2 linked regions of the Saccharomyces cerevisiae S288C genome follow. Changing the gene in region 1 together with any one later gene gives a genetic interaction. Each region holds a gene or a part of one and is shown on either strand. Other genes may lie near its edges.

What was found.
Region 2: mutations in DDR48 (region 1) and YOR338W together harm fitness more than expected from each alone (negative genetic interaction), as found in Saccharomyces cerevisiae (one large-scale study listed by BioGRID).

The regions. Positions count from the first base shown.
Region 1 is NC_001145.3:606,647-610,724, forward strand, and holds DDR48 (DNA damage-responsive protein 48), read left to right. Parts: upstream 1-2,042; coding exon 2,043-3,335; downstream 3,336-4,078. Other genes in the region: HOT1 (Hot1p), read left to right, coding at 1-1,494; PAI3 (Pai3p), read right to left, coding at 3,513-3,719. UniProt on the Saccharomyces cerevisiae protein: DNA damage-responsive protein that may be required for maintaining the rate of spontaneous mutagenesis. Shows low ATP and GTP hydrolysis activity.
Region 2 is NC_001147.6:955,024-958,570, forward strand, and holds YOR338W (uncharacterized protein), read left to right. Parts: upstream 1-1,874; coding exon 1,875-2,966; downstream 2,967-3,547. Other genes in the region: TEA1 (Tea1p), read left to right, coding at 1-1,600; putative E2 ubiquitin-protein ligase UBC11, read right to left, coding at 3,339-3,547.

The sequences.
Region 1 (4,078 bases):
GCGCGCCCAAGCACAAACAATGCCCAAAATAAGCTTGCTATCGAATTGCTAAATTCGATATCAGCCGTTAGTAGTGCTTACTTGCAGAAAATGCAGAATAATGGCTCTGGTAGACAGCATACTGCTGATTTATGTACAGGAGATTCCAACACCCATTCTGGTATCAACCAGCATCGGACTACGAATGGAACCATAGATGTGAATACGAATACTGCACAGCTAAACAACCAATTTTCTAACGCACTAAATACTATCTTACCTGATCAGCAGCATAATCGAAATAATGTTTCCCAAAATATAAACCAATCGCTCCCTAACCGACAACTTGGTCCTGTTATAAACACACAAGCCAATCAGAACCAGTCGCAGGTTTTAATTCATAACACAAATACACATCAGCAGGTAAATCGCTCGCCTATTAGTTTCCCGAACGCTTCAACTGACAAGCCATTCAAGTTGAACCCAAATGGGATTAAACGGCGCAGAAGAAATACGCAAAGTAACAACAATGCGAGCACAAATGACCATGCTAGTGCTGCACAAAAGCCCATATCAGCCCTATCTCCATTAACGAATTCTCATAATTCTACAACTAGCATGAATTATACCAATTCTTCCATTCATTCAGGCGTCACCAGTGCTTCAAATTCATTTCATGACTTAAATTCATTGAATAACTTTGGCACGACAACAGCTTTAAGTTTGCCCAGCTTAGCCCTAGATAACGCTTCTTTTCCCCCAAATCAAAATGTTATACCCCCTATTATAAATAATACCCAGCAGCCTCTATCATTTTCCCAATTGATCAATCAGGATAGCACGACATCTGAATTGTTACCGAGTGGTAAGTCAGGGGTGAACACGAATATTGTAAATAGAAACAGAGCTTCTACTCTACCGTCGTACCCAAAACCAATGACAGTGAAAAGTAATGTCGACGATGATGGCTATCAAGAGGATGATGATGATGACGGTGATGACGAAGGTGATGGAAGGGATAATGAAGAAGACAGCACTGCTGAGGAAGATGAAGTAGATGATGAAATCGAAACAGATATGAAGAACGCTTCGATTAACAAGCGGAGGAGGAGCTTGCATCATAAAAAAAGTAACTCTTTAAACGGTAGAAGAAAGCTTCACGGCGAGTCGGCTACTAAGCCCAACATAAACTCTGATTTACATTATAGGATATTGAAGGCTCCCACTGACGTAAAGACTATATGGGAAGAGTATGATACTGGAATAAGAGGAAAGCCATCGATCAAGCATCTTGAGGCCAAGTATGGTAACAAGTGGAGGCTCAATAAAAATAAGAAGACCTTTTCAAGGCGAAAAAGATTGTACAAGTTCATTCTGAACGGTATGGAGAGAGGTAAAACGGCACAAGAGATGATAGAAACCTTAGAGAACAAAAGGCTATATAAAGATGATGAGGATGGCGAAGTAAAGAAAAGAACCATTGGCTGGTTGCAAGAGAGCCTTGCTGGAATATAGGCACGTACGATAGTAAATAATCGTTTACAATCATAGGAAGGAAGGAAAAAACAAGTGTAACATAAATACATTCTGTAAATCTACAAAAATCGTTAGTGCTGTTTTCTTTTTGAGATTGAAAAGTACGAATCATACACATCTCTTATTCTGAGAAGGGTGCATATGACGTAAATCAATGCGTACAAAGCGGTTTCCGGTGCTGGCCTGGCCCACCACAGTTTTGGCGTGGTTGATTTTAAAAACCTTCGGGAAGGTGAAAAAACCACTCCGAAGGTTCGAGGATGACAAATCGCCCCTTAGCTGTGGCCATACAAGCTTGGCACCGACGAAAAAGGGAAAAAGGAAAAGAATGTCGTACAAGAACTCTTACAACCACGTTGAGATTTCATTTAACAACGCCCCCCTTTCCATTATATAAGAAGGCATTAATTTTTATGTAATAAAAAAAGAATTTCTCGAAAATGTCTTACAATTAATTTTTTCTTTTGTAGAGTAGGGCTTTAATAGACTGATATATACGGTATTATAAGTGAACGAAAAAAACAGCAATGGGTTTATTTGATAAAGTGAAGCAATTTGCTAACAGCAATAATAACAACAATGATTCTGGCAATAACAATCAAGGCGATTATGTTACCAAAGCTGAGAATATGATCGGCGAAGATAGAGTCAATCAATTCAAAAGCAAAATCGGAGAGGACAGATTTGATAAGATGGAGTCCAAGGTTCGTCAACAATTTTCTAATACCTCTATAAATGACAACGACTCCAACAACAACGACTCATATGGTTCTAATAACAACGATTCATATGGTTCTAACAACAATGATTCATATGGCTCTAACAACAATGATTCATATGGCTCCAACAACAATGATTCATATGGCTCTAACAACGATGATTCCTACGGTTCTTCCAACAAGAAGAAGAGCTCTTATGGTTCTAACAATGACGATTCGTACGGCTCCAGCAACAACAATGACTCTTACGGTTCCAACAACAATGACTCTTACGGTTCCAACAACAATGACTCTTACGGTTCCAACAATGACGACTCTTACGGTTCGTCAAACAAGAATAAGAGCTCTTACGGTTCCAACAATGACGATTCTTATGGCTCTAACAATGATGATTCATATGGTTCTTCCAACAAGAAGAAGAGTTCTTATGGTTCCAGCAACAACGATTCGTATGGTTCTAACAACGATGATTCATATGGTTCTAACAACAATGATTCATATGGCTCTAACAACGATGATTCCTACGGTTCTTCCAACAAGAAGAAGAGCTCTTATGGTTCTAACAATGACGATTCGTACGGCTCCAGCAACAACAATGACTCTTACGGTTCCAACAATGACGACTCTTACGGTTCGTCAAACAAGAATAAGAGCTCTTACGGTTCTTCTAGCAACGATGATTCTTACGGATCTTCCAATAACGACGACTCTTACGGTTCTTCCAACAAGAAGAAGAGTTCTTATGGTTCCAACAATGACGATTCTTATGGCTCTAACAATGATGATTCATATGGTTCTTCCAACAAGAAGAAGAGTTCTTATGGTTCCAGCAACAACGATTCGTATGGTTCTAACAACGATGATTCCTACGGTTCTTCTAACAAAAAGAAGAGTTCTTATGGTTCCAACAACGATGATTCATACGGCTCCAGCAACAACAATGACTCTTACGGTTCCAACAATGACGACTCTTACGGTTCCTCTAATAGAAACAAGAACTCCTATGGGTCTTCCAACTACGGTTCATCCAACAATGATGACTCTTATGGTTCATCTAATAGAGGCGGTCGTAATCAATACGGTGGTGACGACGATTACTAAGTTTTTGGATGTCTTCGATAAAAAAAATATATTATTGTGTTTAGACTTAAGTATGAAAATTTTATGTATGAGCTGTGGCTATGTATCCGCTGGCAAATAGGTCTGCTTTTTCTACACTTTCCACCCTCAACCTAACAGAGCCCGCTGGCACAAATAATCGATAGTAGGACAACAGAGCTACTCCTTCTTATGCCCCGCCCCTTTGAGCTTGTTGTATTGCTCTTGATAGTTGTGTTTTTCACTTTCATCAGCATCGGTAGTCTTGCCGTCCTTGTCTTGACTAGCCATTTTCTTAAAAGCGTCACTCACTACCTTTGCATCGCCCTGCAATTTTTCCTTTGAGCTCTGAAATATTTCGCTCACTTTTTGTTGGTCTGTATTCATTCTGGATGTCTTGGTTGTAGAAATTTCTTTTATTGGTTCATTAAAGTCAAGGTAAATGGCGAGAACTAGAATAGAGTTTTATTCTTTTTACCGTTATATAGATAATTCTAGCCGGGGGCGGTCGCCCCTGAGATTCCCGACATCAGTAAGACATAGTACTGTACGATTACTGTACGATTAATCTATCCACTTCAGATGTTCAACAATTCCTTTTGGCATTACGTATTAATACTTCATAGGATCGGCACCCTCCCTTAAGCCTCCCCTAAATGCTTTCGGTACCCCTTTAAGACAACTATCTCTTAACCTTCTGTATTTACTTGCATGTTACGTTGAGTCTCATTGGAGGTTTGCATCAT
Region 2 (3,547 bases), on another chromosome or scaffold:
ATCGTTAACACCGCAAGGTGAAAAAAAGAAGAAACCGTTGGTAAAAGGTAGTCTTTATCCTGAAGGACCTGTCAGTTACAAACGGAAGCACCCCGTAAAATCGGACAGTTTATTGCCTGTGTCTTCGTTAACAGCTGCTACAGACCCATCTACTTTTTCTGACGGTATAACTGCTGGTAATTCCGTCCTAGTTAATGGTGAACTGAAAAAACGTATATCCGACTTGAAGACCACCGTAATAGTAAGAGGACTAAACGATGATAATCCCAACTCTATCAATAACGATCCCAGGATTTTAAAATCTCTTTCCAATTTCTATAAGTGGCTGTATCCAGGTTATTTTATTTTTGTTCACAGAGAAAGTTTTCTTTATGGATTCTTCAATCACTCCAAGAATAACTATGAAGACTCAAGTTACTGTTCTGTCGAATTGATATATGCCATGTGCGCTGTCGGTTCGAGGCTTACACCGGATCTACAAGAATATTCAGAAGTGTATTATCAACGAAGTAAGAAGACTTTATTACAGCTCGTCTTTGATGAGCAAAGTACAGCCCGTATCACCACCGTCCAAGCGCTATTTTGCTTAGCCTTTTACGAACTGGGGAAGGGTAATAATCAATTAGGGTGGTACTTCTCGGGCCTGGCTATCAGGGTCGGCTACGACATGGGATTTCAACTGGACCCTAAAGTCTGGTACGTTGATGATAACAATCTGCAGCTGACCCAAAGTGAGTTGGAAATAAGATCAAGGATTTACTGGGGTTGCTATATAGCGGATCATTTTATTTGCCTGATGTTGGGTAGAACGTCCACATTAAGCGTTAGTAACTCAACCATGCCAGAGTCGGATGAGCTGCCAGAAGTCAACGGCACCGAAGAGTTCAGATTTATTGGAAGACATGTTTTACAGATATCCTTGCCTCTGAAAAACTTGATAATTCTATCAAGGCTTGTACAAATCTTCACCTCTAAAATTTTCATCGAGTCGGAAGATATAGCACGAAAACTAAAGTACTTGAACACTTTCAATTCTCAGGTTTACAACTGGAGACAATCTCTACCGGAATTTTTGCAATGGTCGAAAACACTCATCGAGAACGATGACGTATCCACAGACCCCACTATATCTTACTTCTGGTATTGCTACTACATAGTGCGGCTCACCTTTAACAAGCCATTTATAGAAGACTCTCAAGAATCCGAAACGGTAGTCATAGAGATCATCGATGATTTGAAGACTTTGCTGGACAATTTCGGGAAAAAATTCGGAAACTACACGAAGGGAAACCTTTACCAACTTTACTCATGCCTGTTGGCCATCAACTGTTTGAAGAAGTTGAAAGAGATACGTTCCAGTGAGCAAGACTCATGGAATGCACAATTGGATTTTTTCAATCACATCTTCTACACACAACTATATCCCGCATATGATCTGCCGAAAAAGCTGCAGGAGGATACGGAGCTGGAAACAGAACAAGAAAACCAGATGTTGAACCAAGTTGGAAATATAAACTACACGCACGATTTTTCACTCTCCCACGAAATTGACGATCTTATCAGAGAACTGTTTGGGGTGGGCACACCTCAAAAACTCTGACGATCTTTATATTTGTCACCTTTTCCGTATCGGCGGCTAAAAGGCGATGCGGTGCACAGGCGCGGGGTCCCTGGGAAAAAGAAATGTTCAAATTAACATTTCTTTTTCTTGTTTTGTGGCTCTTCTAGAAGGATTTTTAATCAGCATAGCCTGCGTTAAAATTTTTTACCGGATCTTATATATCTAAGACATCTACTCTGTTTAAATACTTAACGAACATCATAGAGAATCAACTAATAATATAGATTAGAAAAGAGAATTTTTTTCGACTGCGATGCTAGATAACATGCAATTTCATTCTCCAGCACCGGAACATCCTCAATTGAATGGGGGTATTAACAAAATTCCCGCTTCCCACAAAATAGGTTACAAATTAAACCAGCAAGTGCAGAGATTGGCTGTGGTCAGGAATAATATTGAAGAGAGATTGAACTCGATGGAATCCTCACACGGACAGATATCCGATAGTAGCGTTGTCCGTGCTATCGATGCAAGTATCGATGACTTCCTAATACCTTCACCTCCATTATCGCCAAAGCTGAGGCAATGCCCCATAATAAGCCAGCCTCAGCTGGTTAATGTGGAAAGCGACCATAGGGAGCTGATCATGTTGACCCCCGTTTGGGAAGCGGGCTTGAACTCTCAGAAGTACAACCATAATACAAGGAATTTCTTATCGCAATATAGCTTCTTCCGAGATATGAAAACAACGAAAAGGATTCCTAACAAAGAAAATAGGAAATTGAAAGTGGTAAAATCTGTTGTGAACTCAGAAGCTCTGCCCAAGAGAAGAAGATACGATAGGAAAATTAAGAGAAGATCAAGGGAGTTGTACGAAGATGATGGAAACAGGTCAGAAAACTATGATGAAGAAAGTGCTCAAGAAGTTCCAGTTAGATCAGTGACTCCGATACGTCAAGTTAAAAGGTCTCTTCATACTATTTCTTCGCCATTGGCCTCACAGGGCGTAGTGAATAATGTCCCCAAGTATATTCCAAGCATGTCGTGGGAAAAGTTGCCGGATTACTCACCTCCTCTTCACACTTTGCCGAATAGTAATAATAAAGTTTTAAAAGTGGAATGGAAAGGCTCTCCAATGGACTTGAATCATGATCCTCTCAAACAGCGTCTGCATCCTGCAGAACTAGTTCTCGCACAGATTCTGAGACTTCCATGTGATCTTTATTTGGACTCTAAAAGAAGATTTTTCTTGGAAAAAGTTCATAGATTCAAAAAGGGGTTGCCGTTCAGGAGAACGGATGCTCAAAAGGCTTGTAGAATAGACGTTAATAAAGCATCAAGGCTATTTGCAGCATTTGAAAAGGTAGGTTGGTTACAAGATAAACATTTTGAAAAGTATTTGTAAGAAAGAGGCGGTACGCCTTTGGGATAGCGTATCGTTTCATCGTTTAAACGAGCAAATTTGATAAGTACGGAATATGACAGTCTCATTGAGTAATACAGAATTGAGGCGTTTAAATGGTTATGGTTAAGGGTTACGGTTACGGTTTTTTATTCTTAGAACACATTTGATATATTTTTATTTATGGTTTTTTACATATAGATTTCGTTCATATATGAGGTTTTCTTTTTATATTAATTATATTTCTTCGGTTGTTACGTTATCAATTTTGTTATTGAATTATTACGGGTTATGAACGCCGTAGAAAAATAGCATTGGAGTTTGAGAGTCTGTGGCTTTTCTGTCACATCATTTTTTCGTCTAACTTAGGTTAACTCAGTAATCGTCGATTTCTTCATAACAGGCCAGGACCTTTTTTCTGTATTCCTCCATATCTGCATCCCAAAGTTCTGCTGCCACAGCGTTCAGCGGAGATCTGTTATTTGGTTCGCCAAGTAATGACTGCAATGACAATAGAATTGTTTCTACATTATACACTGCAGACCATTTCTCTTTCAGAATGTCCAAACAAATGTTGCCACTCT